Saccharomyces cerevisiae S288C: one gene and its partner. The gene in region 1 interacts genetically with each later gene. Each region holds a gene or a part of one and is shown on either strand. Other genes may lie near its edges. The genes, in order: YIR042C and SPS2.

The links.
Region 2: mutations in YIR042C (region 1) and SPS2 together harm fitness more than expected from each alone (negative genetic interaction), as found in Saccharomyces cerevisiae (2 studies listed by BioGRID).

Annotation. Positions count from the first base shown.
Region 1 is NC_001141.2:432,428-438,988, reverse strand, and holds YIR042C (uncharacterized protein), read left to right. Parts: upstream 1-3,005; coding exon 3,006-3,716; downstream 3,717-6,561. Other genes in the region: seripauperin PAU15, read right to left, coding at 4,686-5,060.
Region 2 is NC_001136.10:1,481,190-1,488,697, reverse strand, and holds SPS2 (Sps2p), read left to right. Parts: upstream 1-3,394; coding exon 3,395-4,903; downstream 4,904-7,508. Other genes in the region: GTPase-activating protein AGE1, read left to right, coding at 1-1,156; putative serine/threonine protein kinase SPS1, read left to right, coding at 1,660-3,132; URC2 (Urc2p), read left to right, coding at 5,295-7,508. UniProt on the Saccharomyces cerevisiae protein: Involved in middle stages of meiosis. Redundant with SPS22 for the organization of the beta-glucan layer of the spore wall.

The DNA of each region.
Region 1 (6,561 bases):
TATTGTAATATAACTGCACTCTATAGTCATACAGATATTTTCACTTCGCCCTATCTTCCCATACTATTGTCATGGAATCTCACACTGACGCATGATTAAACGAACAATTTATACTATAAGGTCTGTCATTTGCGCTCTATCCTTTTGTTTGCAATATTTATATACAGAATCTCAAAACAAGCGGGAGAAGTGGTAATTACCCAGAGGTCATGCATGATCTGAGTACCACCATACCTCTAAGTTTTTGCTTTGATCCGTTTTACAGTGACAACAAACATAAGGAGAAGGCATTAAAATGGTATCGAAAGGTTATCAATATAGGGAAATAAATTGGTTCTATGAATCTTCATGTAAGATACTCGTAGGCCAGACTCTTTCCCGTGTAAATATTTGTGACAGCTACGTCTATTTTCTACTATATGTTTACACAGTTTTCTCACAGGCAATCTACGCTTAAATATGTGTTTCATTTCAGGCGGCAACTGCTGTGCGAGCAGTGACATTGCCGGTCGCACCTTAAAACGTAAGCCAAAGTTATGACACGCTCTCAAAGTACCCGCATTAAAGTTTTATAAAAGTATTATTACGACTATCGAGTAACTTAGATAGAAAACCGGAAATGAAATGGATGCCCTTTTCGAATAGCTGAGTTTCTTTGTCTAAAATAGCCCAACATTGTTGCCCTTTTTCTATCATGAGATTGCACGAACGCGCGCGCTTCGGCGGCTTTTTTTTCTGCTACATAAAAGCGAAAAGGAAGAAGTTATTACTTTGAATAAAAAAACCTCGAACTGCCATCTCACTACCAAATGAAAGAGAATGAAGTCAAAGATGAGAAAAGCGTAGATGTGTTATCCTTCAAACAGCTCGAATCCCAAAAGACTGTTTTACCCCAGGATGTTTTCCGAAACGAATTGACCTGGTTTTGTTATGAAATTTACAAGTCTTTAGCGTTTCGCATCTGGATGCTATTATGGCTACCACTTAGCATCTGATGGAAACTTTCCAACAATTGGGTTTACCAATTTATAGTTTCACTTCTTGTCCTGGTTTTGGGACCAATATTTCTCCTTGTTATTCGTGAACCTTCTCGTAAGCGCTCCTTATCGAAACAACTCACTCAGTTTTGCAAAGATATTACTAAAAACGCACCAAGTTTGGATACTCATAATTGGGAAATCGTTGCAGCAAATCTAAATTCGTACTTATATGAAAATAAGGCTTGGAATACTAGGTACTTTTTCTTCAATGCCATGGGCTGCCAAGAAGCGTTCAGAACAACCCTTCTCGAACCCTTCTCTTTGAAAAAAGACGAAGCTGCCAAGGTTAAGTCATTTAAGGATTCCGTCTCTTACATTGAAGAAGCATTGGGAGTTTATTTTACAGAAGTTGAAAAACAATGGAAGTTGTTTAATACTGAAAAATCATGGAGCCCTGTTGGCCTAGAAGATGCTAAACTTCCCAAAGAAGCTTACCGATTTAAGCTTACCTGGATTCTTAAAAGGATTTTCAAGCTGCGGTGTTTACAAGTCTTCCTTTATTATTTTTTAATTGTCTACACGTCTGGAAATGTTGACCTTATATCACGTTTCTTGTTTCCGGTAGTAATGTTTTTTATCATGACGAGAGATTTCCAAAATATGGGAATGATTGTTTTATCCGTTAAAATGGAACACAAGATGCAGTTCTTGTCAACTATTATAAATGAGCAAGAAAGCGGTGCGAATGGATGGGACGAAATTGCAAAGAAAATGAATAGGTATTTGTTTGAGAAAAAAGTCTGGAATAATGAAGAGTTTTTCTACGATGGACTTGACTGTGAATGGTTTTTTAGCTGCTTTTTCTATCGCCTTTTATCTTTAAAAAAAACTATGTGGTTTGCTTCGTTGAACGTTGAGCTATGGCCATACGTTAAAGAAGCACAATCCGTGGTAACAAGTCTTTAGTGAAAAAGTGAACATGTTTTTTTCAACCTAAAAGGTGGGTTAAGATTTTCATCGAGCAATTTTATGCACACAGCACGACATGGTTCAGAGTATAATATATTGGAAGAAAATGCACACGAGCATAATTCTCAAATTATATATAATTACTGAGTATTAATTACAACCGGACACGCTCCATAATTATTCTTTTAAGATTATTGTTTATTAAGGAGCACTTCTAGAAAATAAATGTTTGGAGCCATTAAAATGTAAACTAGCAGATAATTATAATTTATATTCCTTAAAGGCACAAATCTCCGTAATATGTGTATGTATTTATTACTTTTGAGTTTGCCTATTTAGCACAGAGCGGATCGAAAGTATTGGAATAGTAACACCGATATTATTTCTTGGAGGCTTCTCATGAGCCAGCATCATTTTAAAGTCAAGCAGTTGAAATGGAGTACATTTCCTCATATTTTCTATATATACACGAGTTCTTATTTAACTTGAATTGAGTGATTTGTTTTCATCATCTCTTGGCAATTTGTTTTTGAAATATTTTTTGAAAAGAAAGATGCAAATTTCGCGAATCACATTTTCTGTTGCATCGATAAGGTTATTGCTGATCATAAACACATTTATGTGAGATTTGTTTCAATAGCGCACGCACTTATACGCCACTCGCTGAATTTGTCTCCTTCTCAAAATTGGGATTATCATAAGGCATAAGTGTATATTAGAAAATTATGCAAACTCTGTACCTATATTTGCAGAGTCTATAAGAAGCTGTTTACTGGGCTTACAATAAAGCAGATCTCTTGTACTGTAATACGTCTTGGATCATCGCCAGTGTGAAAGTCAAAAAGTTCGTAGTTCTTTGTGCACGTGATATTTGCTCTGTTTATTGGTTCATAATGGAAGGTTGTTTTTTTTTTGAGCCATTCTTCAAAGGTTGATAGGAGGTTGATAAGAGGTTGATAAACAATCAACAATGATATAAAAATAGCATGGGAGGACGCCTTGCAAGAATTTTCCCGCCTCTGAACCTGGAAATAATGCCCTTCAGTAGAAACAATTATGGCGAATTTAAATATATTTGGGCAAGAAGTTGGTGCTGACGTCGAAGGTTGGACAACAAGGGCCTTCCCAGAGAAAGTTGTATTGAAAGGTAACACTTGCAGACTAGAACCTCTAGATAGAGAAAGACATGGTTCGGAACTTTTTAGTGCCTATAGTGAGGCAGGCCAAAAATTATGGACGTATTTACCTGCGGGACCATTCACTAACTTGGAGGAATATCTAGAATTCATTAAGGAACTCAATGAAACTAAAGATACTGTGCCTTTCGCAATTATTAATAAAGAGACTGAACGTGCCGTTGGTACATTGTGCTTAATAAGAATCGATGAAGCCAACGGTTCACTAGAAGTTGGATATGTTGTTTTTTCACCAGAATTACAGAAGACGATTATTGCAACTGAAGCTCAATTTCTGTTAATGAAGTATGTATTTGATGATCTTCAATACAGGAGATATGAGTGGAAGTGTGATAGTTTAAATGGGCCGTCAAGGAGGGCAGCGATGCGCTTAGGCTTTAAGTATGAAGGCACGTTTCGACAAGTGGTGGTATATAAGGGTCGCACTCGCGACACTCAATGGTTTTCAATAATCGATAAAGAATGGTTACGCATTCGTAAAACCTTTGAAGAATGGTTAGACAAAACAAATTTTGAAAATGGCAAACAAAAGAGAGGAATAGCAGCAATAAGAGAAAGCTTGTCAAACTGAAAACTCGCCCTCTCTTTCATGCAGGACATATGTATATATAGCATTTTTTGGTTACCATACTGTAGACTAGGATTTTTTTGCAGTCATGTGAATTTTCCGACTTCACCTTCAACAAAGAAAAATCGCATTTACAATGACTAAGACTTCACGCATTTGCGCTGATCTCCTTTAAGCTTGAATGACATTGAAATGTTACGTCGATACCGATAATATTTTGGGCTCTCGGTTTTGATTTAAACCAGGAAGCGTAGCTCTCACCTTACTAAGGCTCACATCATGTCATTTATAGTGTCATTTTGGCCCTAACTATATTCCACCTTTCTTCCATATAATAGTTTCAACCTTAACCTCAAAATGTATCATTTAATTTTTCTCATACTCTATCATATTTGTTATATAAACGTACAAAGATTGTAATGTTAACTATGCTAAAGTACAATTATTCACAGCATACTACACCGCGCTACGGTTCGTTACCAACCCTCACTAAACCCATAACGAAAGTGGGTTATCTTTACTATTTTAAACTATATTTTCCTTTTCTTTTCAGTATCCTCCTTACCGTACTAGCACATTTTTCTTATATGTCTTTTTATTTTCCCATCGTTGAATATATTCAAGTATCCGTTCTGGTTCTACAGTATTTAATATTCACGGGTCAAGACAAGAGCAACTCTACTGCTGTAACAGGTGAATAGCTTGAACGGATTCTGATCTACGAATCCTGTTGTAAAACTGGCCTATTCCGTACAGCTCACATAAAAAAACCCCTAGTTGTGAGAAAGATAAAAGAGCAACTATGCGTTCCCTATTATATTGACGCCCAGCCGGTAGTTCGTGAAAGCAAATGAATTTATAATATTAATATATGTTTATATGTAATCAGCTGTATTTATATTGAAAGCATTTTTTATTTCATTTTTTCGTTACTTTCAATGTCTATGGAATCTCATTCGTAAAGGCATGTCTCTATTTTGGAATAGCAGTGTAAATACCGTCCTTAGATAGAGCACTGGAGATAGCTGGTCTCAATCTGGTAGAGTACCATGGAACACCAGTGATAACTCTGGTGACTTGTTCAGCTGGAATACCAGTCAACATGGTGGTGAAGTCACCATAGTTGAAAACAGCTTCAGCAATTTCAACTGGGTAGGTCTCACTTGGATGAGCTGCTTGAAACAAGTAGTATTGGGCCAAATGAGCTCTGATATCGGAGACGTAAACACCCAATTCGACCAAGTTAACTCTTTCGTCAGATGGAGATAGAGTGGTAGTGGCTGGGGCAGCGGCAACACCAGCAGCGATGGCGGCGACACCAGCAGCGATTGAAGTTAATTTGACCATTATATTTGTTTTGTTTTTTAGTGCTGATATAAGCTTAACAGGAAAGAAAGGAATAAAAACATATTCTCAAAGACATACAGTTGAAGCAGCTCTATTTATACCCATGCCTTCATCAGTCATCACTACTTAAACGATTCGTTAACAGGTGCTCATTTAGCACCTCACATATCCTCCATATCTCATCTTTCACACAATCTCATTATCTCTATGGAGATGACCTTGTTTCTGAACGAATCATACATCTTTCATAGACTTCGTATGTGGAGTATTGTTTTATGGCACTCATGTGTATTCGTATGCGCAGAATGTGGGAATGCCAATTATAGGGTGCCGAGGTGCCTTATAAAACCCTTTTCTGTGCCTGTGACATTTCCTTTTTCGGTCAAAAAGAATATCCGAATTTTAGATTTGGACCCTCGTACAGAAGCTTATTGTCTAAGCCCATATTCAGTCTGCTCTAAACGGCTTCCATGCAAGAAATATTTCTATCTCTTGAATTCGTACAACATTAAACGTGTGTTGGGAGTCGTATACTGTTAGGGTCTGCAAATATGTAAACTCTCGGCGAAGGCCTTGGTGCAATTACGTAATTGTAGCCGCTGAGAGGCGGATGGTATTGAGAGAAGTTGATATTCAAAGAATTGATTATGATAAAAAAAAAAAATTGTAACCAATCCGTAAATACTGAAACTCTTTGCAGTAAGAAATCTTTCATCCCCAGAGAGAACGCGGAAATATTCAGCCTAAGTCTCTCCAAATTGATTTCTTTCATTTTGGTAGCGAAAGACTTAGTATCAACCTCAAAAAGTTGAAATTTTTGTAGATATATGTGCGGATGACATGAAGTATCCAGCTCCTTTGTGAATATGGAAGCAAGTTTCTTTCAAATTATTATCGACTTTTCCTCTGCCCCTTTTACCTTATAACTTTAGGAAACACTACCCTATCCATACTCAACTAAAAAAGTAGTACGTTTTCTTCTTTGAGAGGTATGGTGCAAACCAGTGCAATCTGATTCCAGATTGCCCTCACGTGAGGCTTCAGTAAATCTCGATCCCTCTACATATTACATTATCTCCTACTTGGCAAAATAGATGTGGCTTTAGTTGATGAAAATTTACCACGTCAACTATTTATGTCCTTTCTACAATAAACCCCGACCTACTATCCTCTATGTTGTTTTTAACATACCATACGAGCGTCATATGTCTTTTGGTTCACTGGGGAAGACCATCACTGTTGAACGTTTGTTGAAAAGTTCGAGATGATGAAGATTGCATAACAAAATGTAAAGTTATTTTTAGAAACTATAACGGTTCAAGACATTCAACACTATAACATAGCTTGGCTGGCTTGAACATAAAGAGGAAGAAGCAAAAGCAAGAGTAAAAAGCTTCTCATTTATTTCTGGCATTGTTGATCACCCAGTGCAAGCCCAATTTCGCCTGTGCTTTTCTTAAATTGTTTCTGACAACACCGAGGTTTTCGCTGCAGAAAAGGA
Region 2 (7,508 bases), on another chromosome or scaffold:
TCGTTCACCCCAACTGTCATTTACATATTTATCAACCCGTCTTAGTGGGAGCCAACACAAATCTACGCATTCTCATCACATCAATCATCAAACTCATCCCATTCATAGTAGCAGTAGCAACAGTAATAGTAATAACCGTATTCCTACAAAAACAGATTCCTCCAAACAGCATACACAGCATTTCTCTTTTGCTAATGCGGGAGCCTCCAATAGAGACGAACTGCTATCAATCGTGCGCAAAATTGATAAATCTAATTTGAAGTGTTGTGACTGCGGTAGCACCGCAACAGTAGAATGGGTGTCAATCAATTTATTGTGTATATTGTGTATCAAATGTTCGGGCGTTCATCGATCTCTGGGTTCACATATCTCCAAAATTAGATCTTTAACGCTGGATAATTTCACCTCGTTAGAGTTGATGCATCTTTTACAAAATAATGTTTCCAATAGTAATGTTAATGCCATTTATGAAAGCAATCTCAGGAACTTTCCAGTTAAAAAAATAACTGCAAATTCTGATGACTCGGAAAGATCCAAATTCATTATTGATAAGTATCAATTTAAAAAGTTTGTTATCGACAGCAACCAAGGCAGAGAGGCTTCTTTGAAGTCTTTAATTAAAGCTATCCATTTAGATAGTGTTTTCATGATGCAAAGAGCCATCGCCCAAAGTAAATATTCCCTAAGAGAATTGACGGCAAGCGAAAAAGAGCAGAATGATCTAAACCATTCTTCCATTTTTCAATATTCCCTAAAGCACTATGAAATTGTTGATGGAACGCCCATTTTTTTTATTACAGAATTTTTATTGTGCAATGGTATTCATATAGATAATTTACCGAAGATTACTACGAATTGGTCTCCAAAGGTTTTAGAATATTGGGAAACTAAGTTGGAGATGTACGGAACATTCCAAGCTGTAAATACTTCTCGTCCAAGATCAGGGCCGCATTTAAATATGCATTCAAATGTAGATTCAGCTTCGTCCTACAATAAGAAACACGATTTGAGAGTTAACATACCTGAAAGAAGTGCCTCAGCAAGTAAAAGGTGGAGTTTGAGCTCCATTCCTAAGTCTTCTCAAAATTTGATGTCCCCAACAAACTTATTAACAATGCATAAGTCTTTAAAATTGGCCAAAAAGGACAAAAAATAACATATATGATAATTTAACTGTATTTTTTTCCCTTTTCTAATACTTTTTCCTCAAGTTATATTTCGGAGCTGTCCCAGGTTCGGAACAATGCGGCATCAGGGATAAAAAAAAATGACACATAAAAACGAAAAAGACACAAATTCCATTTTTTTTTTTTGACGCGAAAGAATGACACTACTTTCTTCTATTGTAACCATTTCTAACATCGATATTTTACTTGTTAGTTCAGATATATACTAAAGAGTCACTTAATATACTGTTTTTGTTTATTATCTTGGTTCCAACTGCTTCATTTAATATTTCCTATCCAAAAAAAGCCAGCTAATTCTCTTCTTTTTTTTTCTTATTTTGCCATTTTCAATATTATCGATTTAGTGAACACCTGGCTAGTCAGTTGTCTTAGCAAACATTTCTCAAAAGAAAGCAAACCAGCATTTGCTTTTTAAATTTAGTTTTTTTACTAGCTAATTCATTTACTAAACAACAAAAGAAAATAGCACAAAATGGAAAGCAAAGAAATATCAATTAGGTCAAGAACCCCTCCATCGAAGCTATATTCCATCCAATCATGTATTGGCAGAGGTAACTTTGGTGATGTGTATAAAGCAGTGGATAGAGTTACGCAAGAAATTGTGGCAATTAAGGTGGTCAACCTGGAGCATTCCGACGAAGACATTGAACTGTTAGCACAGGAAATTTTTTTTCTGGCGGAATTGAAATCTCCTCTTATTACAAACTATATTGCAACAATGTTAGAAGATGTCTCTATGTGGATTGTCATGGAATATTGCGGCGGTGGATCATGTTCAGATTTACTGAAGCGAAGTTACGTCAACGGTTTGCCTGAAGAAAAAGTTTCCTTCATTATTCATGAAGTCACCTTGGGTTTGAAATACCTGCATGAGCAAAGGAAAATTCATCGTGATATCAAAGCAGCTAATATTTTACTAAATGAAGAAGGTATGGTTAAGTTGGGTGATTTCGGAGTAAGTGGCCACATTCGTTCCACTTTGAAAAGGGACACTTTTGTAGGAACGCCGTATTGGATGGCTCCGGAAGTTGTTTGCTGCGAAGTTGATGGGTATAATGAGAAAGCAGATATATGGTCCTTGGGTATCACCACCTATGAGTTACTCAAGGGCTTACCCCCATTATCTAAATATGATCCTATGAAAGTTATGACTAACTTACCAAAAAGGAAGCCTCCAAAATTACAAGGTCCCTTTTCGGATGCAGCAAAGGATTTCGTAGCTGGTTGTCTTGTTAAAACACCTGCTGATCGGCCATCGGCATATAACTTGTTATCATTTGAATTTGTTAAGAATATCACCATAACGAACTTGAAAAGTGATGTTGATCTAATTAAACAGAAAAAGGTTCAGGAGAGATATACAAAAGTTCCCAAATACCCTCTTCAAAATCGCTTGTATAAAAACAGCAACACAGTGAGGGGAAAGGAATTTTGGAATTTTGAATCGACAAGACTAAGCACAACACAAATTTCCAAAGAGGAATTATCTCCCATTACACAAGACTCTCCAACATCATCTTTAAATATGGAAAGTCCTTATTTACTTCATGGGCAAACTGTAACGCCGATAACCAACCCAAGTTCTTCATCATTTAGAAAATGTACGCAACCAGTTTTCGAGCTTGATTCAGGAATGGATATAGATTCAGGCTGCCCAAATGCTCAAGCAGAGACCGAAATAGTTCCTCTCTCTAATCATAATAAGAAGCATAAAAAGAACGATATTCAGGCGTTGAAGATAGAAAAGTTTGACTACTTGAAAAACATTGTATCTCATATTCTCAACAGAATGTATGATCGTGCGCGCGACGATGAAACAAGAAAATACGTAAATGAAATGTTAAAGCAATTCATTAAAACTGAGGCAAACGTTCCTGGATTTAATGAGGTTTTTATAGAAGAGATCTCACTAAGAATTGAAGCAATAAAGAAAGGATTCGTTTAAAAAAATAGATATATATATATAATGTGTGTATATGCATGAGTTTTTGTTTTCCATTCTCTTTCATCTTCAATAAATGAAGGATGGATATATTGAATTATATAACAAACAGTAAAAAGTCATGTGTTTTTGATTATTTACCTGCTTATTTCTCCCTTTTTTTTTCGATTCTTTTTTTCTGATCGAGCGTTTATGTCTTTACTGTCCCGTCATTGATGCGTCTCAAAAAAAATATTTTGTGGCATTACTTAGACTATAAAAGAAAATGCCAATTTGGAAAACACAAACATTCTTCACTAGTATTTCTGTTATTCAAATAGTCAATAAAGAAACCAAAGTTTCTACAAAAAAAGAAAAGGATAGCATGTTGAACCAGTTGAACACAATCTTAAGATTTTTATTCTTGTTTCTGCAGTTAATTAAATCATCCGCTGCAGTTGAACCTAATGGTGGACCGAATATTCTAGATCACAACATTATGTTGGTTAACACTAATGCAACGATCCCTAAAAAGGAACAAACTGATTTTGAGGTGATTTCTCCAACAAAACAAACACAAGTAGATGAAGACTGTAAAAAAGGCTTGTATCATATTGAGAATGCTGGAAATTTGATTGAACTGCAAGCTAAATGTTGGAAAGTGGTAGGAAACATTGAAATATCAAGTAACTACAGCGGATCTCTTATTGATCTAGGGTTAATAAGAGAGATAGAGGGAGATCTTATTATCAAGAATAACAAACACATTTTTAGAATCCAGGGTTATAATTTAGAGTCTTTGGGAAAGTTGGAATTGGATAGCCTAACTTCCTTTGTATCATTAGACTTTCCCGCTTTAAAAGAAGTTGAAACCGTTGATTGGAGAGTTTTGCCTATTCTAAGTAGTGTTGTCATTAACGGAAATATTAAAAAGATCAAAAATATTATCATATCTGATACTGCATTAACCTCCATCGATTACTTCAATAACGTCAAGAAAGTGGATATTTTCAATATCAACAATAACAGGTTTTTAGAAAATTTATTCGCAAGTTTAGAAAGTGTTACTAAACAACTAACCGTCCACTCTAATGCCAAAGAGCTGGAACTTGATTTGAGCAACTTACACACGGTTGAAAATATGACCATTAAGGACGTTTCAGAAATTAAACTAGCTAAACTTTCCTCTGTGAACAGTTCTCTAGAGTTCATCGAGAATCAATTTTCAAGCTTGGAACTACCACTTTTGGCAAAAGTTCAAGGAACGTTGGGGTTAATAGATAATAAAAATCTGAAAAAGCTAAACTTTTCGAATGCCACCGATATTCAAGGGGGTCTAATGATTGCTAACAATACAGAGCTTGCCAAAATTGATTTCTTCCCCAAGTTGAGGCAAATTGGCGGTGCAATATATTTTGAAGGTAGCTTTGATAAAATTGACCTCCCAGAGCTAAAGTTAGTAAAAGGTAGCGCTTATATCAAAAGTTCATCTGAGGAATTAAACTGTGAAGAATTTACATCACCAAAAGCCGGTCGTTCGATCATAAGAGGCGGTAAAATCGAATGCACATCTGGTATGAAAAGTAAAATGCTGAATGTTGATGAAGAGGGGAATGTACTAGGAAAGCAGGAAACTGACAATGATAATGGAAAGAAAGAAAAAGGAAAAAATGGTGCAAAAAGTCAAGGAAGTTCAAAGAAGATGGAAAACAGTGCTCCGAAGAACATTTTTATTGATGCTTTCAAAATGTCAGTTTATGCAGTTTTCACGGTATTGTTCTCGATAATTTTTTAGGTTAGAAGATTAACTTAAATACTAGCCATTTTATTTAGTTCTTATGAGATATAAATTTGCAGTAGAGATGTAGTGTTCTGATTATCTTCACCTGGAGCATAGCGTAGCCCACTTAGCATCAGCTTTTTATGTTATTTCAGGCATTACCAAAACTGGTTAAACTATTGAAACTGTTACCCTCCTTTTAATTTTGACAGTTTTTGAATAATTATTATGGTAGATCATCTTAACAAAATGAGCTCATTAGGTAGATGATTTAATTGAAAAATAGTGTTTTGATACGGTTCTTCCTTAGGGTTAAAACCACTCACATTTTGCTTACTCACCATTAAAACATCTTTCCCAGTTGTATTTTATATTTCTTTCGGTTTGCTGAACATCAGGGAAAAAAATGGATATAAACTCAAATGCCTCAGTAAGCCCCAGACCAGATGGTTTACCGATGACTGCTGGATATAATTCTGCTTCTGGAAAGGTGCGAAATAGTATCAGATCCATAATAAACCACCCAGAGGATAGTGCAAGAGCCAAAGAGCGCAGTGAAACGAACAGTCCTAAGAATAATGGCAACAAAAAACCTAGAAAGAAAAGAAAAACATTTAGTTGTGATACTTGCAGGAGAGTGAAGACAAGGTGCGATTTTGAACCTTTCATTGGAAAATGTTACAGATGTAACGTTCTGCAGCTTGATTGCTCCTTAGCCAGGAATAAAGACAATGAAATTTTGAATACTTTACGTGAGGATGGTCTACTAAAGAAGATCAACTCAATTAATCACAACCTTGGTTCTTTCTCTCATTTGAATGCGGACTCTCCCAACGAAAGCCAAAGTAGTTTTGAAAAGAATGGAACGGTCAATTTTGATAATTACATGATCGATAAAAGGCTTTCATCTTTAGAAGAGCACATAAAATCTTTACACCAGAAAATGGACTTGATAATCACCACAGCAAAGATGTCTTATAACAGCGATATCAAAGGCCCTGGAGATGATATTCAGAACGTGGATTTCAGCTCAAATAAGACGTACGATAGTCGTCTAACTTCGGGCTCAGAGACGATAAGGAAAACAGGGGAATATAGAAAAGAAAATCTTTTCTTAAATGGATTTAAGTTGAAGGAATCTCCTTTAAAATTGCTACATGATATTGATGAGAGGCTATTTCCATCGAAGGCTACATCTAAAGCTGCGAAGCTAGCTGGACAGCAAAGGCCATATGCTGTTGCAAGAGTGAACTTTCTCCATTTTTATGAGAATAATCAGGAATTATGCCATAAGCTTGCAAAAGAATTTCTGGTGAGATCCCATTTCTGGATAATTCCAGGTGGGAGAAAAGAGATAGACGTGGAATATGCCCACTCACACCTATTTATTACAAGTGTTTTTACTATTATCGCTATGAGTTTTGCTGACAACGATAAATACGCTGCAGAACAAGAAATATTGTATCCTTTAGTGGAGAGATTACTCACTAATACGTTAACCATGTTTGAAAAGTTAACAGCGTTTGATATTGAGGCTATTTTATATTGCTGTATGTTCCATATTTCGCGAAAGGCAAAGAGATATAGGCAACTGAAGTTTAATTCTCTGGTACTAAGCAATTTTGCGCTCAATAGCTTGTTACATGTAATAGATTTTTATCAGATAAAGGATAGGGTTTTGGTAAAAGAAGTGTATAATCCCGAAGATCTTTATCATCTAAGAATACTAAATTCACTAACTGCCTGCTATTTAGAATATTCCATTAGTTACGGCGATATTAGGGAACAGGATGATATGCTTAAAGAGTTTAATAAACTTGTGGCGAAATTTCCTCAGGCGAATTTTGGTGATGACATTAAAATCAGTGAGATAAATTTAGGTGACATCGTAAATGGCATCTTTATAAACCTTAAAAATTATTTTGCGCAGTGTTTGGATGACTTTAACAATGACAGATATGGAGGTAACGCAGATACTTTTATCTTTGTTTTTCCAGAGCTAAATTATTGGCTGAAAAATTGGGAAGAGCTTTTAGCAAAGGATGGCGCGGGCGTGCTATTGTTCACATTTGATTTTTATCATATCATGATATGTCGCACTTTTATCACAGAATTTTCTTCCACGCTAAAAAGCAACCAAAGGTTTTTGAAACTAATTCTTAATACGATGAAAGAACATTCATTTTCGCTGTTGAATGGGTTTTTGAGACTACCGCCAACGTTAATAAGGGGTGCTCCGATTTTTACTTGTCATCAACTAGTCTACGCCTGTTTAACTCTTTGTGACTATCTTTATTGGTTCGATTCTTCTGAACGTCAACGCGTTTTGAGTCTTTGTACAAAAGTGTACTGGCATTTGAGCACTATAGGGGAAAAAATGAATGAGGCTACTGATAACGTTGGAAAAATCATAAAATCTATAATTGATACTAGTAAGACTCGTATTAATTTTGGCAGTTTGTCAAAAGAGAATAGTGATAATGATAAAATGTCGACTAATGCTAATAACTACACAGGAGCAGGAAATCTGCACGCCGCGAAACCCGCTACTTCGCCTACTAATGTTGGTACTTTGCACGAGAACTTGTCCAGTAGTCACTTCATGATTCCTGACGTCGAC